Linked DNA regions of Elephas maximus indicus. The protein of the gene in region 2 purifies or fractionates together with the protein of the main gene of each other region. This does not show direct contact. Links are inferred from orthologs where the notes say so. Each region holds a gene or a part of one and is shown on either strand. Other genes may lie near its edges. The genes, in order: ILK and RSU1.

The links.
Region 1: the proteins of RSU1 (region 2) and ILK purify together in Homo sapiens (affinity purification with mass spectrometry; 9 studies listed by BioGRID and IntAct, counting the BioPlex papers as one, with this or other methods). This does not show direct contact. The link is inferred for Elephas maximus indicus from reciprocal best matches to the Homo sapiens genes RSU1 and ILK.

What each region holds. Positions count from the first base shown.
Region 1 is NC_064825.1:60,258,778-60,273,461, reverse strand, and holds ILK (integrin-linked protein kinase), read right to left. Parts: upstream 7,595-14,684; 5' UTR 7,503-7,594; intron 7,122-7,502; 5' UTR 7,030-7,121; coding exon 6,941-7,029; intron 3,843-6,940; coding exon 3,677-3,842; intron 3,503-3,676; coding exon 3,407-3,502; intron 3,226-3,406; coding exon 3,129-3,225; intron 3,022-3,128; coding exon 2,938-3,021; intron 2,835-2,937; coding exon 2,749-2,834; intron 2,603-2,748; coding exon 2,493-2,602; intron 2,385-2,492; coding exon 2,257-2,384; intron 2,170-2,256; coding exon 2,048-2,169; intron 1,952-2,047; coding exon 1,852-1,951; intron 1,745-1,851; coding exon 1,614-1,744; intron 1,441-1,613; coding exon 1,291-1,440; 3' UTR 1,285-1,290; downstream 1-1,284. Other genes in the region: TAF10 (transcription initiation factor TFIID subunit 10), read left to right, coding at 50-204, 438-502, 587-701, 882-971; RRP8 (ribosomal RNA-processing protein 8), read left to right, coding at 7,821-7,919, 9,193-9,559, 9,979-10,432, 10,526-10,655, 10,846-10,952, 11,035-11,131, 11,355-11,474. UniProt on the Homo sapiens protein: Scaffold protein which mediates protein-protein interactions during a range of cellular events including focal adhesion assembly, cell adhesion and cell migration.
Region 2 is NC_064822.1:40,079,968-40,095,617, forward strand, and holds the start of RSU1 (ras suppressor protein 1), read left to right. Parts: upstream 1-8,344; 5' UTR 8,345-8,521; intron 8,522-8,758; 5' UTR 8,759-8,761; coding exon 8,762-8,870; intron 8,871-15,650. UniProt on the Homo sapiens protein: Potentially plays a role in the Ras signal transduction pathway. Capable of suppressing v-Ras transformation in vitro.

The DNA.
Region 1 (14,684 bases), on a different chromosome or scaffold from region 2:
GGCTCTGAGCCTCCCACCTTTGTATCTCAGTTGACTGGTTCCCCTCCAGCTCCGGTGTCAGCGGGCGGCGCGGCGCCCCCAGAGGGGGCCATGTCTAACGGGGTTTACGTACTGCCTAGCGCGGCCAACGGAGATGTGAAGCCGGTGGTGTCCAGCACGCCTTTGGTGGACTTCCTGATGCAGCTGGAGGATTACACGCCTACGGTGGGCTTCCCGCCTGAACAAGGCCACATGGCCCGCTGTCACACCAACCTTCAGCCACACCTTTTGGCTTTTCATTGTCCTATTTGCTCCCCTCCTGGTGATTTATTCCCTTTGCACACCCAAACTGTGAGCTTCCTGATAGCCAGGCCTGTCCTCCATTTCCTCTATCCTTCTCCAGCTCAGCCCGGCAGGGCTCAGGGCTCAGACTGACAGTTGTCTAATTGATTTATCAGATCCCAGATGCAGTGACTGGTTACTACCTAAACCGTGCTGGCTTTGAGGCCTCGGACCCACGCATGTGAGTAAACTCGGGAAAGTTAGAGTTTTGGGTGCTTGTGCGTAGGTTGTCCATCTTTTTCTCATACCAGTTTTTTCTCTCTAGAATTCGGCTCATCTCACTAGCTGCCCAGAAATTCATCTCAGATATTGCCAACGATGCCCTACAGCACTGCAAAATGAAGGGCACAGCATCTGGCAGCTCCCGAAGCAAGAGCAAGGTGTGAGGGAAAGTTCACTGAATTAGTAATTAACCCCACAGCAGTGGAGACTTAACTTACTCTGAAACCGCTCTGGGGAAACTGAGTCCTAGGGGAGGTTTAAGATCTACTCAGGGTCACCCATGTGGGATTGAAATCTGGGAGGCTGTGCTCAGCTAGTGCTCTTCCCTTTTCCCTCAGGACCGCAAGTATACTCTAACCATGGAGGATTTGACCCCTGCCCTCAGCGAGTATGGCATCAATGTGAAGAAGCCGCACTACTTCACCTGAGCCACCCAACTTAAATGTACTTACTTGTCCCCATGTCCCCACACCAGCCTGTTTTCGTAATAAACTTTATTGTGACAGGCAGGGCTGATCCCTCCCATGCTGGGAGACACCATGTGACAAGTGGCAAAGCTTTGAGTCCAGCCCCTTTTGGGGCCACAGTGGTAGGGATGGGGACGAGGGATGGGCCCCATGGCTGGGGTAGTACCATGACTGGAGGCAGGGGAGACAACCAGAGTCCTGCTGCTTTGCGGGGGAGGGGAGGTGCACTCCCCCAACTGTGTCCTGATACCTCTGGAGTTTAGGCAGGGACTTTTCAGCCCTATTTGTCCTGCATCTTCTCCAGGATAGGCACAATCATGTCAAACTTGGGCCTTTTAGCAGGGTCTTCATTCATGCATATCTTCATAAGCTTACATACATGGGGGGAAATGCCTGGTGGGATGGTAGGCCGAAGGCCTTCCAGTGCCACCTGTAAATACAGGAAAAACGAGGTGAGCATCAGAACTTGAGTCTGTCATGTGGGGAGAGGCCTCATAGACCTTGGCACAGGATTACTGTATAATTGAACAAGTGTGGGAAGAGCCCACGCCCACTGCAAGTACTGCCACCACCACTACCATCCCCCGGCACGAGTGTTCCCACCTTCATGCCAATCTCCATGTTGGAGAGGTCAGCAAAGGGTACCTCCCGTGTCACCAGTTCCCACAGAAGCACTGCAAAACTCCACATGTCTGCTGAGCGTCTGTTTGTGTCTTCAGGCTTCTTCTGCAGAGCTGGAGGAACAGGACTTGTCTGTTCCAACTGCCTGTCCTGTCTCTGCCCCCTTCCACCAATACTGAGGTGACTCTTCTCTACCTCCCAATATGAGGCCCTCACCCACCTTCAGGGGCCACCCAGGCAGGTGCATACATGCGCCCAGGGCACTGGAAGGAGAACTTGACGTCGGCCATGCTTATTCGGGCAGTCATGTCCTCATCAATCTGAGGAAGAGATGATATGTGGAAGGAGGTGAGTCCTAGTCTAGATAGGTGAAGGGCCTCTGGGGGCCTGGGCCAGGAGTGGACTTGTGACCTTACCATTACACTACGGCTATTGAGTGCATGTCGTGGGATGAGGGGCTCTAATGTGTGTAGGAAGGCCATGCCCCTTGCCATGTCCAATGCAAACTTCACAGCCTGGCTCTGGTCCACAACGAAGTCTACAAGAGACAGGAGTTAAACAGTTTAGAGAAGTTGGTGCTCCACCCTACCCCACCTCAACCAAGGGCACCCACATCCCTACTCACTGGTGCCTTCGTGTAGTACGTTGTAGAGGGATCCATATGGCATCCAGTGTGTGATGAGGGTAGGGTGAGGAGCAGGTGGAGATTGGCAAGCCCCTAGCACCGGCAGCACATTTGGATGTGAGAAAATCCTGGGAGGAGAGAGTGTCCATGGCTGAGACCCAGCCAAAAAGATCTCCCTCTCAGTGCTATTAAGGGCTCCTTGGAACCAGCAACTTCTCTATCAGGTCTTGCCCCACCTGAGCCGGGGACACTCCTCATTGAAGTCCCTGCTCTTCCTTGTACTCCAGTCTCGAACCTTCAGCATCTTCACGACAATGTCATTGCCCTGCCAGCGGCCCTTCCATAGCTAAGGGACAAGTGGGAGTCAGGAGGGTTCAATGAGGGCCACTGCTTTCCTTGCCCACTAACTGGAGAAGGAGAAGCTTAAAGCAGGTGCACAGCAGGTAATCTGTGAGGGTTTGGGGAGGGAGGGACACAAAGGGGAGGGGTCACCTCTCCGGAGTGATTCTCGTTGAGCTTCGCCAGGAAGTTGAGCTGTTTGAAGTCAATGCCAGAGTGTTTGTTCAGGGTCCCATTTCCTGAGAGTGTGGAAAGGTCAGGTCCCCAACTTCCTGATAACCTGCTCCAGGAGCCCAGGATTATTCCCTGTTGCCACCCCCTCCTTCTACAACAGTGACTCACGGGGCCGAGTGCGGGTGGTCCCCTTCCAGAATGTGTCCTTGTATGGAATTCGGTTGAGATTCTGACCCATCTTCTCTGCCCGCTCTGGGGAAGAAAGACAGTCTTGGCCTGAGATGTGGTAATGGAGGGAGGAGACAGGTGGGGAGGGACAAGACAAGAAGATACAAGTGGGAGGAAGGTAGGGGATGCACCTCGGAGAAGCTCTCTCAGGGGTGCCTTGGCTTTGTCTACAGGCATCTCTCCATACTTGTTACAGATGCTGACAAGGGCTCCATTAGCTACCAGGTCCTGGAATGAGAAGGTGGTTGTGATGAGAGCCCCTGCTACCTCACAGATGTAGTAACTCACAGATACAGTACACACCCTGTAAGTGTCAAACACTCAGGATGGGTTGAGTATTCCAGGATCTCTCCCTCAGGCTCAGACTTTGCTTCCCACCCATCACAGGGCTTGGGGCCCAAGTCCTTACCTCTGCTACCTGGTCTTGGCCCCAAAAGCAGGCATAGTGCAGGGGTACATTCCCATGCTCATTCACTGCATTGATGTCAGCCTTGTACTGCAACAGCTGCGCCCCATGGCCAGACAGAAGAGGCAGAAGGCACAGTCAATCCCAAATGAGAGATGGGTGTTGGGGTATGAGGGGGAAAGAAGAGCACGCATACTTCTATTTATGTTATAGTGCTTGTGTTTGACTGCAAGGTATGGAGGCAGCATGGGTGATGGAGGGGTTCATACATACCTTCTGTACAATATCACGGTGTCCATGACTGGCTGCCAGATGCAGTGGGGTGTCATCGCCACGATTCATCACATTGATCCGTGCCCCCCGCATGATCAGCATCTCAACCACAGCAGAGCGGCCCTCTCGGCAGGCCCAGTGCAAAGGGGAGAAGCCATGGTCATCCCTTTGAGGAAGTGGTAATGGTCAGTGATCTGGAGGCGGGATGGGGCAGAGGCTTCGATACAGGAGAAACTGATAGTCACTCTTCATACTCTCCATGGGAAACCTTACCTCTCTGGGACTTCAATTCTCATTCATGCCAACAACTCCCAAGTCTGTCCAGTTGAGATCTTGCCCTGAGCTTCAGACCCAACCAAGGGGCACATAGGGGCAGCTTAAACTCAAGTCCATAATATGATTCATTATTTTCACGCCACCCCCAACCATCTATCGTTTTTTCGCTCGTACGCCCTATCTCATTAGATGGTAGCACCCTTCATCTGGTTTCCCCTAAACCATTTTTGCAATGTCTGTTGGTCCTGCTTTCTACTGCATCTCGTATATCCCCCTACTATAGCACTTGTTATACTGGACTGTAAGAATCTTGTTACTTGGCTGTCTTGTCCATTAGACTGTAAGCTTCTTGGGCTGAATGACACAGGTGTCAGCTCGTGCCAGTGTGGGGAGAGGGTGGCAGGGTGTTTTGGAGAAGGAAAACCACAACTCATGGGAGAGGGAGCCAAACTTACTTTTTGGTTCTGGTACTGAAATTAAAACCTAAAAGTGGAATGGAATTAAAATGACATTTTGGAAGGGTTTACCATGAGAAGGAGAAATGGTTTTGATAAGTTATTACTGATGAGGCAGATAACAAACCAGCACATAAAACAGGGATTCCCCTACTCAGCAATCCTGGGTATAATAAAAAACAGAAGAAAATGAGAACAGCTGCTTTGGAAGGAAAACTATACCTGACTTTTTTTTTTTTTTTTTTCCCTTAAGGGCATGTATTTTACAAAGGAAAAGAAGTATACAAAAAACAAAGCAATTGGGTGGGAGCTGGGCCTGCCTGACAGGCTGGGGCCATAAAAGGAAATTCCCTCCAGTCCCAGGCTGCAAACCCAAGGGGCGGGGCAGGGGGCGGGCCAAGGTCTGGGCTAGCAGCCTCCAGATGCCTTAGTGTTTCAGTCACTTCCCATCGGGGGCTCTAGGCGGGGCCTGGAGCTTGTCAGGGGTCTAGCCACCCTGACACACAAGCAGCTGATGGGGGTGGGGACTGCCGCCTCTAATTTACAGATCTCCTACAGCTTGCCTTCATCTGCTAACACAGCTAGCCAAAAGTTTTCCTGGGAGGTGGGTATCCACCGGAAGCAATTGCAACCTCCTGCTTATCAGTCTTGCCTCTCAGTTCCTTAATTTGTGCCCTGACTTATCAGCCTGCAGCAGTCTGTGGCCCCAGGGCAGACCAGCCTGAGGGCAAAAGTATGGGCACAAAGGCTCTCCCCAATGTCCAGTTGCCCGTCACCTCAGGCTCTGGATTTCCTATCCCAGAGATGCCTGCAGGAAATTGTCCCTCCACCCCCTCATACCCAGCATATATCCAGCTTGGGCCCCCAGACCCTGTCCCCTGAAACCAGCACCAAAGCCTTCTAGTTTCCCTAATGCCACTGTACCTTTTGGCAGAAGAGTCCTCCTAGATGCCTAAGCCTCTGTTTGTTCAAGAAAGTAGGAATGGTGCTTACTGTTTTTATCAAGCACCCTCTGAGAAATATGAAAAATGGAACAAGTGTACTCTGCAAATTATGAGGGAGAAATTGTATAAAGTCTAATGGGAACCAGTGAAGCTTAAACTAAGATGACTGGTGATCCTTACCTTTCAAATCTTAACATTACACTCCCCCAACTTTAAAAAATAAATTATAATCCCCACTGTGAATCGCCATCACTACTGCCATCTCAGCCAGTTTTAAAGAACTTGTTTACATTTACATTCACTTTATTTCCACACCTCCCATTCATTTTTTAACCTGCCACAGGTTGGCCACCTTGAGGGCAGGGATCAAGGGATCTGACTCTGGGTTTCCCGAGCCCAGCACAGGAAATGTTCAGTACGTTTCCTTAAATGAATGAACCCAATATAGTCCACTTTATTTTTTCTCTGAAATGGCTCTCACCAAAATCATCAAATATATCCTAATTGCAAATTCAACAGGTAAAGTTATTTTAAAGCTGCCTATATTATTGTCACACTGCACTACTGTTGACCACTCCGCTTTCATTGAAACATTCTCTGAGCTTTACTAACACACTTTTCTTTTTCTCCTTCAATCTCTGGTTGCTCCTTTTCCGTCTCCTTGCAGGCGTCTCATCCCCTGCCGTCTTGTCTTCCACTCTTCCAAGGCTCTTTCCTTCACACACATCTTCAGTTATTATCTATACGCTAATATCTACCAAATCTGTGCCTCCAACTCTGATCTCTCCTGAACACAAAATCTGCATAACCAATAACCTACTGTTTTGTCACCTTAACACATGCAAAATGGTACTCATCATCTTCCTTCAGTCTTCTCCATCTCAGTAAAAGGAACCACCATCTACTAAGTGTCCAAGCCAGAACCCTGGTTATCACCTATGACCTTCCTCACTTCCCACAGCAAGCACCACCAATTCCTCACCCTAAAGATTTTTGGAATCAGATCACTTCTGTCAGGCGCCCCCATTCTAGTCCAACCCATTGTCACTTCTGGAATAGCTTCCTGATACGCATTCTTGCCTGTGCTTCATAAAGCATCCAAGATGATACTTAACAAATGGGCAATCTCATCATATTACTACACAGCTTTAAGGGTTTGCTCTTAAAGACCTTATTATGCCCTAAATATCTTAACACGATCTGGCTAACCCCTGCAGTCCTCTCCAGACTTATCTCCTATCATTCTCCTCTTGTATCCAACGCTGCAGCCCACAGAAACAGTATTCTATCCTCCAGCCATATGGAACTCCAGAAAATTTCTTGTAACTCTCAGCTTTGTGTCTTGCCTCCCTGCCTTCGCCCATGTAGTTCACTGAGGCTGGAATGCTCTCTGCGGCCTCTGGCTGTGAAACTCATTCAGTTGTTCGAACACTGCTTCTTCCGTGGAGACCCTCTGCCCTCCACAGCTGTGCTTAACACTCATCACACTGGATGGAAAAGTTGGCCACCTCCGCCAGACATGAGCACCCCACGTCGGGGAGAAGGGTAAGACTCTGGCCATCCTCTCCCCACCAGCCGCCTGAGCTCACCCCTGGTTGAGGTCGTTCTCCGTGTTGTCCAGCCACAGGCGCACCGCAACCGCGTTGCCTTCACGGCACTGAGTGAAAATGTCGTCCATAGCAGCGTCCCGGCGCTGAGTGCCCTAGATCGGGTAAGCCTGGGGACTACAGCGTGACCCAGGGGAGAGGGGTGAGCCCCAACCTTTGTCCTCTACAAGACAGAAGTGTTTCTGTTGGGGGCGGGCGTCTGGGCGCTGCGTCCCCGGCTTGTAGGGGGTCAGGAATGGGAATTTAGTGCAATGGGATGATCCCCGACTGTGTCCACTGGGCATGAGGGAAAGGCAAGTCCGGGAGGGGAAGGAGATAGGCGCTGGTGTCTGCCGAAGGGATATCGGAGGGCAGGCACGGAGACACCACCCGCGAACAGAGCTGGGGGCGGGGGCAGGAGTGGGGAGGTCCGGGCACCGTACACCCGGTAGGAGGGGATCCCCGCGTATGGACCCCATTCCCTCCCGGGAATTCAGACGGAGTGAGGGGTCACGGGCTGGTGGGCCTGAGTGTTGGGGAGGGGCGCGGGTAGCCCCGCACTCACCGGGACTCGGGCTCGAGGCGCCTTCTCCGGGGAACTCCCGTCCGGCCGCGCCCGCCACCCGGCCCCGCCCCGCCCCTGGCCTTAGCGGGCCGGCGCGGGCCTCCCTCCCTCCCTCCCTTCCCGCCCCTCCCTTGCCCTTCTAGCTCGCTAGTGTGGAAACTCGATGGTTTTCGGCGCTGCGCCGGCCGCTCTAGCTGCCCCTGGCTTTCACTCTTTGGTTCCCAGCTTCTGCCCGGCTGGTGTAGGCACTTTGACTCCGGGAGACGCTATCGCACGTGGAGGGACGCCGGGCACCGCGACTCTGCCCTCCTGGCCCTCATGTTCGAGGAGCCCGAGTGGACCGAGGAGGCCCTAGCAGCCACGGCCTTCGGGCCCGTCGCCGCAGGGCCCCGGCCCGCGGCAGCCGTGCGTATCAAGGTGAGTGGCCACGCAGGGGCACTGGGACCTGTTTTGGGGCGCCAAAGCATTAGGGAAATCCCAGCGCCAGGGGCACACCAAGTGTGTATTGGGTGGGTAGGTGGGCCCAGCGGCACCGTTTGAGGCGAGTTCTGATTGAAGATCCGAAAACATTTAAGAGAAAATGATATTTGAGCTAAGTGATGAATAGAAATTTAAGCAAAAAGGGTTCCTTAGACCGGGGGGGGGGGAGAGGGGGGAGCACGTGCAGAGGTCGTGGGGCAAGAGCTTATGACCTGTTAGGGCCCACCAAAATGATCCGTGTGGTTGGAGCACAGAGAGTAAGTGAGAGGGGATGATGTTTAAGTTGGAGAGGTGGAAGTTTTGTATATTTTAAGTGCAGAGAGAAGCCAATGAAGTATTTGTAACAGGGGAGCGATTTGTTCAGATTTGCATTTTGAAAACATCACTGGTTACAGTGTGTGGAGAATGGGTTGGAGAGAGCAAGAGTTTGTGACATAGGGCTATGAGTATTATGATTAAAGGGGGTATGGGTGGGAACTAAGAACCTCCAAGGTAAGTGCCTGGTCTAGGACCACCCAGCAGGACTTCAACCCAGAATCAGCCTCCCCCACTAAGGCCTCCACCTTTGAGCCTCTACATATGTGCCGGCTGCTGTACTTTCTCACCCTCTTACTTCCTGTACGCTTCAGTGTGCTTCTAATATGAAATCTGCATGACTGACATCTGCTTATTCCCTTTTCATCTCCTCAGCTCATTGCCACAATCCAGATCACTGTTCTCTTGCCTGTACACTTGGAACAACCTTCTCACTGGTCTCTTTGTAGGTTTTCTCTTGACACTGCAGTTAGAGGCATCTTTAATGCGCACATCTGATCCTGTCACTCTTGTGCTCAGAAACCTGTGGCTCCCTACTTATTATAGAGTGGTATCATCAGCTGGGGACAAAAGCCTGAAATTGAGAGTTGGAACTCCTGGTCTCTGGCCTTGGGCCCTGTTGCTTGTGGCCTGAGCACATTCATCTAGGGAATTTCCATTGCCTCATCTGCACATTGAAGAAGGAGGAGTGGGTGGTTTCTCCACTCTCCACCTCCCAAGGTTTGGGACTAGGAAATGAACATTCTTCAGGGTCTTGCAGGCTTCCCAACTTAGCTGACTGGGAAGAATCCAGATATCTCTGCCAGTGCCTGAATCAGGCTCCCACCTCTCCCTTCTTACACTCCAGAACTCATCTATCCTCCTCACCCCACTCTCATACCTTGCTTACCCCAAGGGCTCCAAGCACCGCAAGCTCTTGGCCACCTTACGGGCCCTGGAGGCTGCATCTCTTCCCCAGCAACCCCCCAGCCTACCTGAAAGTGACTCTGAAGAGGAGGAGATAGAAAGGAAGAAGAAACGCCCCAAAAAGGCCTTGTTTGCTAGTGCCTCTGCTGAAGTAAAGGAGAAAAGGAAGAACAAACATCAAAAACAGGCCAGGTCTGGGAGTGACTCTGAGGATGAGGAAGTGGAAAGAAAGAAGAAAAGCTGCAAACGGGCTCTTCTTGGCAGTGAGTCTGTTGAAGAGGAGAAAAGAAAGAGGAAATGCCAGAAACAGGCTCCTTCAAGCAGAGCCCAGCACCTGGATAGTGTTGACCAAACAGGTACTCTTGGATATGTACATATATATATGGGGGGCAGGGGAGGGCAGGGAAGATCAGCTGATCCTACGTGTGACAGAGGCTACCTGTCACCATTAGGACTGGGGTTAGCCAATAAGAAGTACTTTCATCCAGGCCACAGTCTCTGTCTCAAGGGCAGGCATATCAGGGGATATTGAGTTTATGTTAATTGTGGTGCAATAATTCAGGAAAGGATAGTGACAATGGTTGTACAACACGAAGAATGTAATCAGTGTTGCTGGATTGTACATGAAGAAACTGTTGAATTGGTGAGTGTTTTGTTGTGTATACTTTCACCACATTAAAAAAAAAAAGACAGGCATATGGCCAATGTGACTTGCCAAGTGTCTGCTTGCAGAGGATCTTGCCTCAAATACACCTTCCCATTGCCCTACCTGCAGGTTCCAAAGTCCAGAAGGGTAGTGCTGCAGATGACCCACACAAGCCAAGCCCTGGGTCTGCTTCCCCTCAGTTACCCCATACCTTGAGCCGTAAGCAGTGGCGGAACCGACAGAAGAATAAGCGGAGACACAAGAACAAGTTTCGGCCACCTCAACCGCCAACCCAGGCTCTGGCCCTGGCTCCCACAGAGGAGGCAGAGGTGCCTCCTCCTCCCAGGCCAGACGGCTACGAGGCTCGGGCGGGAGCTCTGCGAGCCCGCATGGTACAGAGGCTGGATGGCGCCCGATTTCGCTACCTCAACGAACAGCTATACTCAGGGCCCAGCAGTGCTGCACAGCGCCTCTTCCAGGAAGACCCAGAGGCCTTTCTCATCTACCACCGTGGCTTCCAGAGCCAAGTCAATAAGTGGCCCCTGCAGCCTGTGGACCGCATCATCAGGGATCTTCGCCAGAGGTGAATGGGGGTGGGCACTGTAAGAAGTGATAATGGGTCAGTTATCATGGGCTCTGACCAGGCCAGTGAGCGACCCTTCCCTTCCGTTCCCAGGCCTGCGTCTCTGGTGGTGGCTGACTTCGGCTGTGGGGACTGTCGCTTGGCTTCGAGTATCCGGAACCCTGTGCATTGCTTTGACTTGGCCTCTCTGGACCCCAGGGTCACTGTGTGTGACATGGCCCAGGTAAACTCATCTGTGTATTTGGACTGTGCTCTAGGTCCATGTGCTCATCTCTTTAAAGCCCTCCTCCTCCTAACCCCCCGCCCAGGTGCCCAACCCTAGCACCCAGTGCTGGCTTTCTCCTCCTCCCCACACTGTGTGCCTGCCCCCATTTGCCCAGCTGCATGCTTCATACAGCAGTCTCTCTCCACAGGTGCCCCTGGAGGATGAGTCTGTGGACGTGGCTGTGTTCTGCCTGTCACTGATGGGAACTAACATCAGGGACTTCCTGGAGGAGGCAAATCGAGTGCTGAAGCCAGGGTAGGAACCCTGTGGACACAGATGCATATATGTGTGTGCATGCGCGTGTCTGCATTTACACAGAACTCTCCATCCCTCTCAGGGGTCTTCTGAAAGTGGCTGAGGTCAGCAGCCGCTTTCAAGATGTTCGGGCCTTTCTAGGGGCTGTGACCAAGTTGGGCTTCAAGGTCATCTCCAAGGTAAGTGCCCTAGAAAGTCTATTTTTGTTTTATGTGCAGCCCTTTCCAGGGGAGTGGTGTACAGGAAGGAGGCCATAAGCACAAGAACAGACATTTGCTCTCTGAAGGCACAACTCATGGGGTAGCCCTGGGAAGCTTTCTGAACAGGGGTGGGAGATGGAAGGAGGTATTTTGAGCAGCTAGGATGAGGATTTAGAACTTACTGGATCTTTTCTGCCCCTAGGACCTGACCAACAGCCACTTCTTCTTGTTCGACTTCCAGAAGACTGGACCCCCTCTGGTGGGGCCAAAGGCTGAACTCTCAGGCCTAAAGCTTCAGCCATGTCTCTACAAGCGCAGGTGACTGCTGGACCTCCCTTGAAAGGGGAGGCAGGGTTCAAACTCCTGGCTCAGAGCCCTGAAAACTGTAGCCAGCCAGGCTGTGAGCTAGGACCTGATGTCACCCTGCCCCATCCAAAGAACAAAATGTGATGAAGGCCCTGGCTCGGCCCCTGATCTAATGGAGGCTTCCTCGGTTGCAAGAAGCATGAAGTCACTCAGACTAGCTAAAGACTAAGGGGTTTATCCCGAGACTACAGGGATGTCCAGGAATCATGGATCCCTTTAGGCGTCATGGAAACTACATGGTTTGGAATTCAGGGCATCTCTGGGTTTAGTTTTCTTTTTCCATCTCAGGGGCCACATGGACTTTTTCTTGCTGTCTCCACTCCTCTCTTCAGATCTTCTCTCTGCAGACCAGCGCCTCTGCTCACTCACAGCTGCTGTTCTTTCAGCTTTGGTCTGCCCAGGCCTTCAAGGCTGTGACAGGTGTTGCTTCTTGTCTCTGGGGCACCTGGTAGCCCACCAATATCCTGGCTGAACACATCAATCTTGGCTTCCAGGTAGAGGCAAGCTGTCTCCACAGCTGTGAGGTGGGCCAAGATTGATTAGATGTTCCCTGCACTGTACATGTCTAGTGGTTCATCTCTCTCTGCTTCTGTCATCTCCAACTTGGGAGCCATATAGATTAAACCACTCCCAGCACCTATTTTCCTGTGGGGCTCTCGTGTGTGTGTGGCTGAGCACAGATTACAGAGTCAGGTAGACCTGGGTTTGAATCCAAGCCTGCCGCTTAGAGCTGGGAGTCATTTAATCTCTGAATGTCAGATTCCTCATTTGGAAAATGGTGAGGACTACTGTTTTATGGGGTTGTTGTATGGGCTAGGTGAGGAAATCTATAGCCTGGGCTGGGAACATAGGAGGTGCTCAATAAACTGTAACTATGGATATCATGTCTTGTGAGCTTTGTTCTCTGAAGACCTTTCCCTAGTCAGGAATGGAGATTGAGGGGTAAAAAATGGATTTGTTGGCTGAGGAAGGTTCTGGGACAGCTCTTCAACAGGCTGATTTCATAAACTCTTTAGAAATTCTCGATGGTTTCTGAGCCGTCCCTGGAAGTGGATTATGAGGGAACTGAGTCTCTGTTCATAAATTACTGGGTGATGCAATTTTGGGGTGGGGGGATTAGGCTATTCATTGGCGAAAGGGTCTGTCCATTTCTTCCCAGGGTAGCACATCCTGGGAAAGCTTTCAGCAAGGAAGGCTAGTGCTTAGGGGTAAGATAATTGGATAATATATCCCAGGCTTCCCTCAGAACACATCTGCCATGGGCTTGGGTAAAAATGCAGCCTCTTCTTACCTGGCTCCAAAAACAAGAACTGAGAGTGGCTACTGGGAAGACATAGTTTTCAGGACTCTGAGCCAGCATATGCCTCCAGTAAAGGGACAGTTTTGGGGACAGACTGTAGGCCAGAGGCATGCCTGGGGGCTAGGCTGGGAATCATGCGACAGACAGTGCACAGTGCCTTTGCATGTGCTACTTGCTGAAATACAGCCAGTTCTCGTTATTCACAATAGTTATGTTCTGTAAAGTCACTGTGAACACCGAATTATTGAATACTGAACCATTGCTCCTAGGGGAGATACAGGGGTTAGGTTCCTGCAAGCCTCTAGTCACAACATTTTTGTTACATGAAACATAACCTGGTTTTATATGTGTTTCTGTTGAAAAAACCGCAAGATACCTAATTTAAATATGTATTGTTGATTCATTAACATTGAACTCACGGCCAACAGCACTGTAACTCATGCCTGAACAAAGTTCACCTAAAACACATATTTTCTCCGTAAGGCACATCATAGCCTTCTTGTGCTTAGGAACACGAGCCAGCACTTCACTGCACTTAGGGGCCATTTTAAGGAGCGAAACCACCAACAAAAAGCACAAAAATGCAAAAAACATGGCACTAAATAGATCACAAAAGGATGTAATTGTTTACATTATGAGAACTGAAATAAGAAGGCAGAGTGTCACCTTGTCCGACCTCAGCTGAAAACTTGTGCGTCGGGAAACTCAAATTTTTTATCATTCTGTGCATGTCTGAATGACCTTGAAAGTACCATGAGTACTGATTCAGGGATTAAAAATAAATTTTAGCAAGTGGGCAAATTAAGGAACCCTGGTGGCACATGGTAAAGCACTCAGCTGCTAACCTAAAGGTCGGCAGTTTGAATCCACTAGCCGCTCTGCAGGAGAAAATACCTGGTGATCTGCTCCTATAAAGATTTCAGCCTAGGAAAACCTCTGGGAGCAGTTGTACTGTGTCCTGTAGTCCTGTAGAGTCACTATGAGTCAAACGTGACAGCAGCACACAACAACAATTTCACAAATATGAACTTCATGAATAATGAGGGTCACCTGTATTTTCTGAATGGTAAAGTTTTGCTCACCCTTCAAAACAGCCTAATTGTTTCCTACACACTCATTTCCAAAGCATTAATTTCTTCAAATGAGCTCTCAAAGCACTGTGTGAAGAGTGTACCTTCAGTATTTAAATACCGGGTTGTGATTGCTTTGTGCATTAGACCGTGAGCTTCTCAAGCTGTATTTATTGTGTTCCCAGAGCTTATGCACTTGTTCACCTAAGGGGGGCGGTAAGGAATGACAGGGTCTAGTTGAGTGGGATTGATGGAAGCAGAGGTGTTGCAGGAACCCAGGGCACAAAATGAGGGCACTGTGGACTAGTGGCAGTGGAAGAAGTGGGCTGACAGGAGTAGGTTAAGAGCCAGAACTGGTGGGAGGTTGGAGGTGGGTGAGAAAAGGAAGTCTGAACTAAGTTCCAGGTTTCTGGTTTAAGCAATTAGATGGGCTGGTGGTGCCATTAAAAGCGTTGGAATTTAGATGCCTTTGTAGATACTCATTTGGTAAGAAGGACATACAAATCCCAGGAGAGATCTGTGGTAGGGATTTGGGATTTGGCAACCTAATGGTGGTAATTAAAGTCATAGAAGTAGATGAGATATCCAGGGTAAGATAATGAGAAGACATATTGGCTGAGAATAGAACTCTGAGGAGCATTTAATGGATGGAAAATGAACCTGTAAAAGGGAAGGAAGATTAGAAGGTGGGGCCAGAGATAGAGGAGGATATTTTTACATTGGAAAAATGGGGAGGTTATCAGCCTTCAGATGCTGCTGAAAGGTTAAGTTGAGGGAGAAGTCAGATTGCAGTGCA
Region 2 (15,650 bases):
CCCATATATCCTAGAGAAAAGCTGCAAAAAACTACTCAATTGTCTTAGAATATTCCCTTTTTCTTTCCTTGCCCTGGACTTTTCCTTACACACTTTTTTATACTAAGGATACTTTTACCTTTACCTTCAAAATCTAATTTATTTGATTACAGTTCTACTGAAAGCTGCCACCTGCATGTAGCTTCCTAAATCCCATCAGTAAGAATTAATTTATTCCTTTTTAGTATTGTCATAGCTATTTTTATAATCAAATGAAAATATTTGCTAGACTTTATCATATTTAGTTGCATACATTAAGTCTTCCACCATTAAACTGTGATTTCTTTGAGGAAACGATTCTTGAGTGTCCCCCACACTTGTTATGTACTGAATGGATCCCTTCTTTACTGCTGCGCTGTCACTGTGACCCTGCTGTATTATCCCTACTTCGCCAAATGCAGACAGGACGCAGGGGGAGATGGATTAGTCGTCACTGGGAAGACTTCAAAATAGGCCAATGACTATTAGAAGCTAGATGACAGTTTGTGATTACAAAGGGATGGGAAAAAGTTGTGGTTTCTGGAGCTCCATGATAACTGTAGCCATAGACAGGCACCAAGAGGGAAGACCATGACAGTGGATGAGAATACATCAGTACTGAGCAATGGCCTACAGGGTTCCTGAAGTCCTCAGAGAACAATTTGTCCTTAAAATAAATTACTAAATGGGTGTGCTTACCACTGGTACTTAATGCTTTATACTTTTCAGATTTTTTTTGTTTTGTTTTGGCCAAAGCAATGTGTTCCCATATTAATATTTTTCAGAGAAAAATATAACCCTTAATCCCTCATAATGTCATTATTCTCATTTTATTCTTCTCTTTGAGAAGACACATACATTATTCACAAAATTTTATATTCCACGTATTGCATTTATTACATTGTGAGCACTTTGCATATTTTTGTACATTTAATTGTACATTTAAATGATGTATCAGTTGTTACACTATGTTTTATTTCAACTTCTCCCACCCTACTTATATTTTTATCCATTATACTACTCTAACAGATGAGCAGATTTTTCCATAATTTTTTAAACTTTGTATTTTGAAATAATTATAAAATCACAGGAAGTTGAAAAAGGTAGTATAGAGAGACCCTAGGTACCCTTCACTCAGCTCTCCTAAATTTTCCACAATTTTTTCTGAATTATTTCCTGAGGGTAAATTTCCAGGAAAGGTGAAAGGTATTTTTACACGTGTCCTACATTGCTAAATTGTTTGCCAATAGGATTAGAAAATGTTACACATCCATCAATGATCAAAAATCCTTGCCTCTTTTGGGAAAGTCTTCAGGTGAAAGTCCCAAGTCATCGTAACCAGATCATTCGTTTCTGGGAAAATTCCTAAGCATGCTCCAAATTTCGTAAAACCCTCAAGAATAAGTTTTAAATGGTATTTCATCCAGGCTGAGGAGAAATTCTGACAATCTACCATGTTTGAAAAAGCAAATTCCCAGAGAAATAATGTTTTAAGCAGGATCATGTTCCAGGCCGTATCAGGCTCTGCATATTTCTACCCAGGTTAAACATAGAGCACAGAGCAGTTATCATAGAGAATTATATTCATTATCAAGTATACAGAATAAACAGGACTATAGAATAAAGAATTGCATATGTCAAACCATCTGTGAGTAATGAAAGAACGTTCTAAGTCATAGGGTATGTTGAAATTGTTTATACAAATATGACAAAACTGTGTATATGTATTTACCTTCAAGTATATAATGTTTCCATAAGCACTACCATTGTCAATACCTAATTTAACAACGCAAAATGTGAAGTTATATATAGTTAATACAGGCTGCTATTTAATAAGAAGTAGAAAGTTCGGTACTCTGTATTTGTCTCCTAGTTTGCCAGAAATGGACCAATAAGGAACATCATGATAAACAGAGAAAATATTGAAGTTGTCAAGGATTTCATTTTACTTGGGTCCACAATCAATACCCATAGAAGCAGCAGACAAGAAATCAAATGACATATTGCTTTGGGCAAATCTGCTGCAAAAGACCTCTTTAAAGTACTGAAAAGCAAAGACATCACTTTGAGGACTAGGGTGAGCCTGACCCAAGCCATGGTATTTTGAGTCATCTCATATGCAAAAAAAAAAAAAAAAAAAAAAATTTTCATATGCATGCAAAAGCTGGACAATGAATAAGGAAGACCAAAGAAAAACTGATACCTTTAAATTAAGGTGTTGGGGAAGAATATTGAATATAACATGGACTGCCAGAAGAACGAACAAAGTTGCTTTGAAAGAAGTACAGCTTGAGTGCTCCTTGGAAGTTCGAATGGTGAAATTTCATCTCATGTACTTTGGACGTGTTATCAGGAGGGACCAGCCCCTGGAGAAGTACATCATGTTTGGTAAAATAGAGGGTCAGCGAAAACGAAGAAGACCCTCAATAAGATGGATTGACACAGTGACCGTGACAATGGGCTTAACATAGCAATGACTGTGAGGATGGCACAGGACCAGTCAGTGTTTCCTTCTGTTGTACATAGGGTCGCTATGAGTAGGAACTGACTGGATGGCTAATAACTAACAAGGTTGCTAGACACATAACTAAGGGAGGTAGTTGTTAGCTTCCTCTCCCAGAAGAAAACCCAACTTCTTTAATCAAGTTTTCCACTGCCTCTAATTAAGTCAAAAGCTTCACAAAAGAGATTTTCTTTATGTTAAATATGCAAGGTTAAGTCTTATTAAGAACATGAGACCGGGTGAATAAATGAAGCTAGGGAATGTGCTACTTCATCTTACTAATACTCAAATGTCAGAGAAATTATTTCTGCTCAGAGTACAGAGCCACATAAATTAAGTATTCTCACCTTAAAACTCCTGCTACTTTTAACTACGTATTATGGATAGATGTATCAATTTCATGGATGGCACTCTTAGAAAGAAAAGTGAATTCAATGAATAACACGATCAAACCTAAGGGGTCTTGACAAGCTGGAACAATGGACTAAATCTAACAAGGTGAAGTTTGACAGGACTAGATGTAAGATCTTGCTCTTTTATCAAAAATAAGTTACAAGGTACAGACATGGAGAAAGTTTAACAATAACATACCAAATTATATAGGAATTTTATCTGAAAGCAAGCATAACATGATGTAGCTGTCAAAAAATAGAAGATGATTTGATCTCAGGTTGCAGTACTGGAGTGATGGTATCTACAAGAGTCATTTTCAGTCAGAAAAATATGAATTAGACTAGGCATATAGACATTTCCTTAGGAAGCGTATTAGAATATCCCGGACATGTGTATAGACAGTTAAAGAAAGCATAATCAATATTATTGTATAATTTTTTCAAATGTTAAACATAAAAAAAAAATAAAGCTCTACAAAATATTTCAGTCTAGTGATCCAGAAAATATGGTGATTTTTAGAAGGCTGGGGTGGACATCCCGGGAAAATGACACTTTTATATGCAGCAAAAAGGGAAGTGGATTTAATAAGTCTGTGAGTAATTCATCTGGAAATTTTTTTAAATGCAATTACTGTCAGTTTAGTAAGAACTTAGAAATTACACAGCATCGAAAAAATATATTGTTAATGGTGAAAATTTTCTACTTATTCAGACCACAAGTCATCCATGACTACCAATTTAATAAGAAAGTTATTGGAAGAAAAATGATGTAAAAAGTGTTAGATGGTTTATGGAATTTTTTTTTAAATTAAATTTGATAACTTGTATTTTCGCATTACTTGGTAAGTAGTTTTATTATAATTTAGAGAAGAACTTAGGGGTATATTTCATAAAAAATTGTACCGGTAAAAGGGAAAAGGAGAAGAGGATTATAAAGGAGTGAAAACAAATTTGTGGAAGACAGGAAGTGAATGTTGGCAAATGGAACAGGAAGAAAAAAACCACAGTCTCAATTAATTTCAAGAGAGAAATGGACCAGAGCAGGAAATCGCTTTTCCAGATATTGCCTGACTACGAGGTTGGCAGGTGCAACGTGCAATGAGAAGGGAGATCACAAGTAATGGAACTTCATGAATTGGCAACCACAATCCTTCCATCAGTGAAAGCAGCCTTGTGATTACCTGTAGGCCAAAAACTTGGTTCTCACTTCCTTAGAAATTCAACAAATAGCTTAGGGAAAATTAATGACCTAGGCTAAATAAGTAGAAACAACAAGGGAAGAATGAAAACCCATGTGCTATCTAGAATAATCAACTCATATCTTCATGTTTGGATATGAAAGGACAACTAAGAATCCTCAGATAGGAAGGCTCTCACAGCATGAATGGGAAAGAACCAGGTAAATATACATAAGAATGGGCCTTTGAGGAAACGGTTGATTTGGCTAACAGAAGAGAGGTTTTAAAAACTATTTTCCTCAGAGATACTTGAGAAGAGAGTTGTGCTCATAAAACAAAAGCAGGGTGCAACTAAAGAGAAACAATCTTGGAACAACAAAGCGCTCTTAGAAAGTACTTTTTCTTGATAGTTAATTATTTTAAATTATTTTTAAAAATTTAATAGAAGGATTGGAAGATAGTCAAGAAAATTTCTCACAAGCTAAGCAAAAAATTAAGAAATGAAAAAATATGAGGAAAAAAATAGATACAGAAAATTGTCCAGATGCCTACCATCTGAGTAACTCCAGAAAGAGAAAATGGCAAGAAAGAAATTTCAAAGGAATAATAGAAAACAATTTCCCAAAGAGGAAGAGAGCAATGAGCCTTCAACTGGAAAAGACCTAAAAATAAATAAACAAATAAAAGGGGAGGAAGGCCCCCCCCAAAAAAAAAACAGTTGCCTGAGTTGACTCTGGCTCGTGGCAACCCCTGTGTGTCAGACTAGAACTGTGTTACATAAGGCTATCAATGACTGATTTTTCAGAAGTAGACTGCCAGGCCTTTTTCCTGAGGTGCCTCTGGGTGGATGCGAACCTCTAACCTTTTGATTAGCAGTGAATGTATTAACCATTTGTACCACTCAGGGACTCCATGAGTGCTAAGCAGTTTAAATAAACAGGTTCCCAACCAGAGTGAAATCATGAAATTTCAGAATAAGGTATATAATAAAAAGATCATAAATATTTCTCAAGGGAAAACAACAGTTTCCTACAAAGACTTGAGAATCAGACCGACAACCTTTCAGAGTCAGTACTGGATACAGAAGACATTGGAGCTATGCCTTCAAGTTTGAAGAGAAACTGATTTTGAACCCAGAATAATAACATGTGAGACAAATGATCAAAGGTGTGAACAAAATAATAAGCATATTTTCAAACCTGCAAAGGCTCAAACGTTGTGCCTCTTAAACACTCTTTTAGAAAAAGTTACTTGAGTGATAATCCAGCAAAATGTACAGAAGAAATGGCTATTGCCACCCGGGAACCAAGTGAAAAACAAAAACCACAGACAAACTGCTCAGCTGGAGGCATAGAAAGAAGCAGTCAAAGTTAGAGCAGTAAGTACGTAATTAAGCGGGATCCTAAATTCAAGAAGTATCTACTGGATTTCACTCAATGCACAGAATAAACAAGAAGCTGCAACATCTTAGTAATAAGGTGAAGATAACCAAAAGAAGAAAAAGGAAATAAAAGCAATTAGAAACTCCAGTAAAAATAACAATAAAATAACTGTATAAGGAAACCACGATCCAAAACAAAGCAAACTAAAATATGGCATACTTTTAGTGCATTATAAAAAGAGAGAAGTAATTTATTTGACCTGGGTATTTATGAGTCGGAATCGACTCGACGGCACTGGGCTGGGTTGGGTATGTTCTCCTTCAAGTGACACAGAGGTCATACTATTGGACTTAAAGAGAAGAAAGAACACATCATAAAATTTTGGCACACTATCTGACTCTTCAATAAATAGGATTAAAATAGCCAAAATAATGCAAGTGCTTTAATTTATTATTTTTCTATTTTTGAAATTAATGTTTAAAAAAGACATGGACAACTTACATATGTTTACAGAATAGAAAGAAAATATCATAAAAAATATAAAAACTAACAATTTTATCTGAGACAATTTGGTAAAATATGGGGGGAAATAGAGTTGGCGGGGTACTAACGTCTTCAACCTACGTAGTCACGGTTCACGATCAGAAGCTGATGGAACAAGAAACAGAAATCATAAGTATATTGGTTAAAGTTAATAATAATAATATTTTACTGGGTTATCTAACTATAAAAACTAGATGTGGGAAATACTGAAGTGAAGCAAATTCAAATTTCTGCTTTTAAAAAAGATGATGATTCAATAAATGGAGGTATCTATAGGATACAAAATAATATAGATGAAATTATGAAGTTAGAAAATCACGATTGAACGCCAAAACTCCTGAGTAAAAGCTTGATGAGGAATCGAATATTTACATAAACCCCATGTATCATCCCAGCCACTATTTATTATTTATAAAGAAAAAAGTACTACCTTCATAGTGAAGAAATCTGGCAGACACCATCTTAACCAAGTGATCAAAGCTATCACCACCAGAAATGGGAGAAATTTGTGTCACCTGCCTTTTGACGTGATGTAGTGGGAAGTAGGGTCTCTGTGAGTTGGAATCGACTTGGTGGCACTGGTTTTTTTTTGGGTTTTAATGGAAAGAAACTACTTTGGTGGTATTTCTCCAAAAAGTCATAATCTGAATCTAATCACCAGGAAACATCAGACAAATTCATATTGAAGGTCATTCAACAAAATAGTTGACCTGTCCAAAAACCAAACCCAGGGCCGTCCAGTCGATTCCGGCTCATAGCGACCCTATAGGAAAGAGTAGAACTGCCTCATAGGGTTTCCAAGGAGCACCTGGTGGATTCGCACTGCAGACCTTTTGATTAGCAGCTGTAGCTCTTAAGCACTGTGCCACCAGGGTTTCCGGTTGACCTGTACATTTTAATAACATCTAGTTCATGAAACATAAGACTGAGAAACTGTTCCAGATTAAAGAAGATTTAAACAAGCATGATCCTCTCATTGGGAATATTTTCTAAACCAGAAATTTCTGCTTTCAATTTTAAAGGTACAGCTCCTTCTCCTACCCCACTGGTTGAGAGCATTATTACCCATATCTTTTAAGGCTTTGATACTTGTTACAATGTACAATATGTTAACACATATATCTATCCATCTATCTGGTTCAGAGAAATGCCTGGTATCAACTTTTATTCCATAGTATGAAATTGTCTCTGAGGAGACTGTTTTGGGGGGAGAAGCATAGAATATTACGGGGTAATTGGGACTGGGTTTGAAAATAGGGAGGCAGAGGCCGGCAGTGAGGTCAGAATTCCAAATTTCCTTGCCTTTTTAAGGGGAAGTGGGAGATCCCTGAGAGCCATAATTTCATGTTTCACAGGTGCAAAAAAAGCAACTATGACTTTTTAATGGTTGCGTTTTACTTGTATCTTTTACTTGTATCTGCGGGTGGTAACAATTGCTCAAGACCAAAAGGGTCAGGTGCAAAAACCAGGTGTAGATCGCCACAAGATTTCAAAAAACACCGTTGCAAGCTGGGCGCTGAGGATTCTTGGCTTGGAGTTCTTGCCCTTGTTGTTGTTAGCTGCCCTCTGGTCTGCTGTCGACCTTATGTATAACAGAATGAAATGTTGCCCAGAACTGTGCCATCTTTTTGATGAGTGAACGTTTCTGAGTTGATTCTTGTGACCACCATCAATTCACCACACGGAGGGTTTCCCTTGTTTTTTGCTGGCCCTCTATTTACCAAACATGATGTCATTTTCTAGCAATTAGTCTTTCTTGATGACCTGTCCAAAGTAAACAAGTCGAAGTTCCACCATCTTCACTTCTAAGGAACATTCTGATTGTATTTCTTCTAAAACTGTTTTGTTCATCTTTTGGCAGTCCACGGTATATTCAAAATTTTTTGCATATAGCTGTAGGCTGGATGTCCTGACAAGGGCTATTAAAGGTGCAACTGCAAAGAAGAGACTCGGTAGCAACTTCAGCCGAGTAGGGTTTCATTTACAGAGGCAGGACACTGAGAGGTAATTGACTTCTAGCTTCTCCGGCAGCTACAACTCTCAAGCAATTTCAAACTTTCTCTCTTTTCCCAGAGCACTCTCGGCTTCTACCAGCACACTGAGCCTGCGACAACACTAGTGCGCATGCGCCAACTCCGGACCAATCGGAATCCCAAACCGGAGTGACTCCAAGGGGATGGGCTAACCTCAGGTGGGGCGGAGTCCCAAAGCCGAAAAATGGACTTGATTGGACGGCCTCGGGGGACACATTCCATTAGGGGCGGAGCCCCGCCTTGGAGCCACGTCTCAGAACCTGTTCTCCTAATTTGGGAAGGGTCGGGCGCTGGCGGGGCGTGGAGCGAAGAGCTGCCCCGTGTGCGCTTGCGCCAAGCGCTAGGGACAGGGCGTGTTCCTGGTTCGGGTTGCAAGTTTTGCCCTGAGCGAGCGCATCTCTTGCCACCCGAGTGTGTATCGCGGAAGCCTGTGGTCCCAACCTTCCCATCCTGTTTGGTGCTACCGTTCGCGGTGAGTGTGGTATTGCACTTGGGTTTGCTTCTCTGCTGCGGGACCGGAATGGTGCCGAACCCTTCACATTCCCGTGCCCCACCTGACCCATCCCCCTCCCTGCACCCGGGTCTGCCCTCTGATGCCCACTTTCCAGGCTGGGGAAGACTGAGGGGTGGCTGCCGGAGGGTCTTTCCTTTCTGTCCCCGCACCCTCCTGGCCGTCGCCCACGTGCTTTGTTGTTGTCGTTTGGTACAGACCATGTCTAAGTCTTTGAAAAAGTTGGTGGAGGAGAGCCGGGAGAAGAACCAGCCGGAAGTGGACATGAGTGACCGAGGGATCTCCAACATGCTGGATGTCAACGGCTTGTGTAAGTGCTCGGGCAGGACCTTCCCTTTGGATGAAGCTGGAAGGGGTTATAAACTTTCCGAGTAACTGCTAGTCCTCCAATGAGAGGTTGTAATGGTTTAGATCCCACCCCTTGCTGGTAAATATCATTTCTCCGGCGCTCAGCTCAGAAAGTTTGAAGTCAAAATTTGTTCTGTTCCAACTGGAAAATAAAGCTGAGAATCCAGGGTGAGAATCGTACTGTTGACTGCTGTGCCTCGTCAGTTGTCTATGCTGGTTTGTGGCATTTTGGTGTATTATCCGTCCAATTCGCTTGATAGCCTCTTTATTTTTTAGTCAAATCATTTTTTAAACCATTTTTCTTTTTTTCTAATATAGTTTTCAGTCCTTGAACAAATGTCTGACAAAAGTTATATGATTAATAAGCATTCTTGTACCTGGAGTATTTTAAAATTTCTTGACTCATTATCTTTTTCTGGATCTTTGTTCTCCTAATGACGTAGTTCAGACTTTTGCCATCTGCTCGTGTTATTGTGATGTCTAAATCCCCTTGTAGTTTAGAGACTGTTGCTTCCAGTGTTATTGTCCTATTGTATGTTACTCCCTACCTTTAAACCAGTGATTGCAAATTCATATGCCTCCAGGGGCCAGGTGAGGATGGTCCTGAACTCCATAATAGTATCCCATCTGAAGGGCGCAGCTGCTGTGCCTGCTACTTAGTTCCAAACAGTTGTCTCCACGTGAGGACATTGGCCAGTGTTGCCAGATCTTTTTTGTTTTTCTTAAGAAGTCAAGAATCCAGATTTTTATATGAAATTTCCTAGTTTTTAAATGTTGGCAACTAATTCCAGTACTTGAAAAACACTTTGTAGGTGAAATAAAACGTATTGAGGCTTTGTGACCCCAGTTTGTACCTTCTCCTCTGAACACATCTTCTGGTTGTCGTCCATCACTGACAGTAATGTTCCAAGTTCCTTGGCATGAAATACAAGACCTTTCTGAATCTGACTGCAGCCCACCTTAAATCCTTATCCTTTCCATGCATTTTACATTCTTTTTTGAACGTATTTCTCTTCCAGAGCCAGAGCACATTCTTTGAGATCTTGGCGCCTTTACAAGTATTATCCCTCTCTGTACTCTTCTTCGCCAAAAATCTTTTTACTTGTCTGTCAAGAGTAAGCTCAGACATCACAATGTATGGGAAGCCTTCTCTGTCTGTATCAAGCCAAGATAGTCATTCCTTCCTCTGTGAAGTTGGACATGCATTGCTTGTGCATGTATATATATGTATATATACACACATATATGTATGTATATATGCGCAAACTGTGGAATATTCGCATTTATGTTCTTTATAGTAATGCCTGGAAAACAGTAGGTGCTCACAAATGTTTGATGGATGAAGCAAAGATTGATGGATCAGGCTGGCAAGTTTATGAGCCAGACCAGGGTGTGACAACAGAGAAGGGGAGGTATCCAAGAGACCTTTTAGACGGTGGCTTGCTTATTGCACATGCAGACAGCAAAGTCAGGTTTTCTGACTCCGTGGCTTGTGTCTAGGGTGGAGATTGGGGTTGGAGCTATTGATTGTTCTTGTTGTTCTTCGGTGTTGTCAAGTTGGATCCAATTCAAAGCAACCCCATGTGACAGAGTAGAACTGCCCCGTAGGGTTTTCTAGGCTGTAATCTTCATGGGAGCAGATCACTGAGCACTTGGAGCTATTGATACTTACTGACAAAAGGAAAGGAGAAGAAAAGTTGTAGACAACTTGCATTTGGTAACTGTGATGAAGATACCTGCTGTGAAACTTAGGTTTTATACTAGGTAGCATCTCAGACTTTTGATATATGCTGGCCTCTCAGTGGTGATAGACTCTTGGTGTCAGCAACAGAACAGATGTCTCTGGTACTGAACTGGCTGTAGAGGATCTAGATGTGCTTCCATGTAGCCCCTGCCCAGATCTACTGCCATCCTGATTATTACTGGGGGCACTGTTGCTATAGAGGAAGAAGAGGATGAGCTGAAAGGAGGCCCAGCACAGCTGTACTCCTGGTTCCAAGGTGTTCGGCCCTTTAGCACCCTTTTTCCCGTAAGGTTGGAGGAAGAAGTTGCTTTTAGCAAAGGAGCTTTATTCCCCTCAGCTGTTGAAAAGAGACTTTATGTAATATTTGTAAGTAGGGCAAGTGGCATAACTGTTTTGGTTCAGCTTTATTATCTCTTTGAAGCCTTGAGTTTTATTAAAGACAGTAAGATAGCCACTTGCTTCCTGGAAAAAAAAAAAAAAAAGTTTCCAGTGTAACATTGGACGATGAAAAGCAAAATCATCCTTAAGTAGCTAAGGAAGAGCCACAAGTGCTTTTTGGAAGGTTTGTTGTTGTCATTGTTAGGTACCATAGAGTCTTTTTCAACTTATAGCAATCTTGTGTGACAGAGTAGAACTGCCCCATAGGTTTTTCTAGGCTGTAATCTTTACAGGAGCAGATCTCAGGGTCTTTCTCTTACGGATCCATTGGGTGGGTTTGGACTTCAACCTTTGTTAGCAGCTGGGTGCTTAACCATTGCTCCACCAGGTCTCTTTCTGAGAGGTTCAGTAGAAGTGAACTTGGAGATTCCACTTCTTCCTGCCTCCATAGTGTAGTCATAAGGAGTGGTACCTCTCCCCCCGACTTGCTGACCTTGGGTCACCTGAGAACCCAGGGGTTCCAGAACACTCTTCAGAAGCTCATTCCTCCACTGAGGCTCATTTAAATAGTGCACGTAATGGTTAGTCTGTAGATGTAAAAGAAAGTCACTACTTACAGCATGAATCTGCCCCTGCAACACCTGGCTATTGGGGCTGATGTATATTGGCAAAGTGATGAAGTATAATGCTTAAAAAAGCCCATTGCCATCGAGTTGATCTTGACTCATAACAACCCTATAGGACACAGTAGAACTGCCCCACAGGGTTTCTAAGGCTGTAAACCTTTACAGAAGTAGACTGCCACATCTTTCTCCTGTGGAGTGGCTGGTGTGTTCGAACTGCCAACCTTTTGGTTAGCAGCTGAGCACTTAACACTGCTCTGCCAGGACTCCTTCATGAAGTATAAATGTATTAAAATATTTGACATGCTCCCGTTACCTGTAGTATAGGAAGACCCGTACTTCTTCAACTGTAAAATTTTAATGGTAGCCATGACGTTTGATACATTGTTATGAAGATTGAACACAGGGAACAATTAAAGTGTACAGAGAATGGTTATTTCTTGTGTCTTAAGCTTCCCCTCATCATCCTTCCTTTGTTTACATTCTCTAAAAATAAGCAAGAATTACGTTTCGAAGGTAAGCATGAAGGCTTTGAACTTGTTCTAAGCATGCAGAATATCCATCTTTCTGTTGACAGAGTTTCGGGTTGTAAATGTCAGCGTTTTACTTCCTCCGAGACCATAAATTGCCTTCTAAAAATGTTTTCAGTAGTTTTGGTACCAAAAGCTTTCTGATGGGGAAATGTCTTAGGCTCAAGGCAGACATCAGACAGGTTCTACGTTTGTTTTTCATTTTTACAGCTTTTACAGTTGTACAGTTTTTAACCAGTCCAGTCAGATTCTAGATATAGTCAGATTCTACCGTGAGAGGCAGAAGTATACAGTATTGGCATTGGGTAAACTAGGTTCAAACCCTCTATCTGCTATTTACAAGTAGGTAACCTTGCAGAAACTACTTAACCTTTGAGAGCCTTGAATTCTTCATCAGCAAATGGGAACATTAGTACTGACTTCCTAGGACTGGTTCAGTGTTACTGCAGTAAACATCAAGTGCTTAGTGCTATGTCTGGTATCAAGTGAGTGCACATGAAATGTTAACAATTAATATCCAGGTGGAGGCCAGCAAGTGGCAGATGTAATCAGTTCCAGCATATTTCTGTGGCCTGAACCAAGAGTTTAGTTTGGTCCATTAGACTAGGTCGGGTATTTGTGTCATATATTGATGGGTCCTAGGTAGCCTATTAGAACCTGGAGGGTTTAGCACTTTTGCTTAGGATACTTATAGATTTAGATTGCTGTTTCTTTGAAATCCAGCCTAATTTTATTCCTTTTCTGTCTTTTTTTCTAAATGCCATTATAATCTGCACACACACTTTCCTTAGAGCTTCCAAGAGTAATGGTACCAATTGTGTTCTTTTTATTAAAGAAGTCACTGCAGAAACTCTCCAGCAAGCAGCAACTGTCTTCATCTGGATGATAAAGCTGCCTTTGAAGGGCCCGTAATCAGCCTTCACTGGGGCAAGGAATCCCTTGGTAGCCAGGCGGAGTTGCTTTCATTTCTTTTATTTAAGTCTTTTGTGACTTTTTAATCTCTTTGAGTTTATTGCCCTCTGGGTGGCCAAGCCTTTATCAGGTTTTTTCCAGGTTAGACTAAAATGTCTTTCAGAGAACTCTTTAGAAAGAAGAATGGCCTCCTACCACAGGAGTGGTCTTTCCAAAGGACCATACACAGTAATCAACAACATAATCACTGACTTATCTGCAAGGGCTATTTCAGGAGCCCTGTTAGGAACATATTTTATCAGTATAGGCTGTCTTTGGGGGAAAGGGAAAAGGGCTGAGAAGATCATATGATTTTAGTGATAACTTTTATTAAAAACCTTTTTTTTTTCCCTCAACCCCGATAAATTCTGTGAATATCTCCAACTTTGTGCTTTTAAACAGGTAGTGTCTTGTTCTGGGAAATTCTTTTTCTGCTTGTCTCTCCAGCTAACTTCCACTTGTCAACTTAATGCTTGTTGAAGGAATAAATGACTTAGCAATCCATGTGACTCCATTCTTGTGTCAGCTCCTCTGGGAAGCTCTCACTATATACTAAGTTTTACCCTATTGTCCCATCCACACTGGCTGAAGTGGCCCTTCTCTGTTCACTCTGCCTTCCTCTATTAGCCCTGACCCTGGAAGAATGCTCAGGAAAAGTATATTGAAGGAAGGAATGTTACTGCATTTGGTTAAAAATTTCATATTTCCTAGGTGATGCACAAATAGTTAAGCACTGGACTACTAACAGAGATGTTGGTGGTTCACACCTACCCAGCACTGCCTCGGGGAATAGGCCTGGCGATTTGCTTTCAAAAGTCACAGCCTTGAAAACTCCATAGAGCAGTTCTGCTTTGCATACAAAGTCACCATGAGTTGGAATCTACTCCACAGTGACAAACAATAACAACAAAGAATTTTAGGTTAGAAATAGATAAAGAGTAGAAAGGATAGCGCAGAGAAGGAACATGTACTCTGCCTCCCTTCCACATCCCTCTCCCCAGCTTTTCAGAGGGAGATAGTTTATAACCATTGGAAACACGATAGAACTGTCAGACATTCTGTTTTTTACTTTAGGACATAAATTACATCAAGATAGGAAATAAAAACAAAATATGACCCCTTGAGTGTAGCAGAACCAGTAATGATATTTTACTATTTTTAATCATTTGACATTTTGGCTCCGGTGAGTTGTGGCATCTTTTTTGTAAACAGCTTTTTTTTTTTGGTTATTAGCTGTGTGACTTAAACCTCTCTGTGCCTCAGTTTCCTCATCAGTAATGGGGAGATAAGAGTGCCTACCTCATAGAGTCGTTGTGAGTCAGTTTCTCTAAAGTGCCTAGTATGCCACCTGGAACATATTAGTCTTCCGAGGCGTCCTAGTGATTAAGAGCTACGGCTGCTAATCAAAAGGTCAGCAGTTCACATCTACCAGGTGCTCCTTGGAAACTCTATGGGGGCAGTTCTACTCTGTCTTATAGGGTCACTATGAGTCAAAATTGATTCAACGGCAATGGGTTTTTTTTTTTTTTTTAATTGTTTAAAAAATGCAAGCAAAAAAACAAAAAACCCCATTGCTATCTAGTCGATTCCAACTCGTAATGGCTGGTAGATTTGAACTGCCGACCTTTTGGTTAGCAGCCGGGCTCTTAACCACTGCACCACAAGTCTTTATTACTTGGAACTCTCAGTGATGGTACTTCCCCAGTGGCCTTTACCTTCTGGTCTCCCTCTTTCATCATGTCAGCTTATCCACTGCCTCATTCCTTACCTGATTCAGAATTCCTGGGAGAAGGTGGGAGGGTCTGCCCAGTGTGCCAGGGTCAGGAGGGACAGTGGCCTCACACTCCAGAGAGTTCAGACTATGGACAGTGGGGGAGGGTGAGCAGGGCGCTGCTTTTATTTGTGTTGTGATTGTGACAATATGCATTAAAAACTTGGTAATTTTCCATCTAATAATTAGATTCATTATACATCACTCAGTACCTATTTATTGAATGCATTTTTTAAAATGATAGGACACTATTTAAGCAGAGTCTCTGTAGAAGTTTTCTCCATATTGAACCTTCAGATCATACAGTGATAACTATTTGCTGTCTTAGGAAAACTGTGAGGTATTTATTGCATCTGAAATTACATATTCACCATAAGAACCCATAAGACCTGCTGCTTTGAAAGCTGTTATAAAACAAACCAAACCCACAGTCATCGTGTCAGTTCTAACTCAGAGTGACCCTACAGGACAGAGTAGAACTACTCCATAGGGTTTCCAAGGCTGTAAATCTTTATGGAAGCAGACTGCCACATCTTTCTCCTTCGTTGCGGCTAGTGGCTTCAAACCACTGACCCTTTGACCCTTTACTGCATCACCAGGACTCCTTGAAAGCCGTTATAGCTAGCTCTTAATTGTGATAATCAGTAGTAGAAATTGCACAGATAACTGAAAATCATGCCCTGTATCCTGTTGTCGTAAATGTCCATGAACCTGGTTTTAAGAAAGCCCAATCTAGGTATGTGAA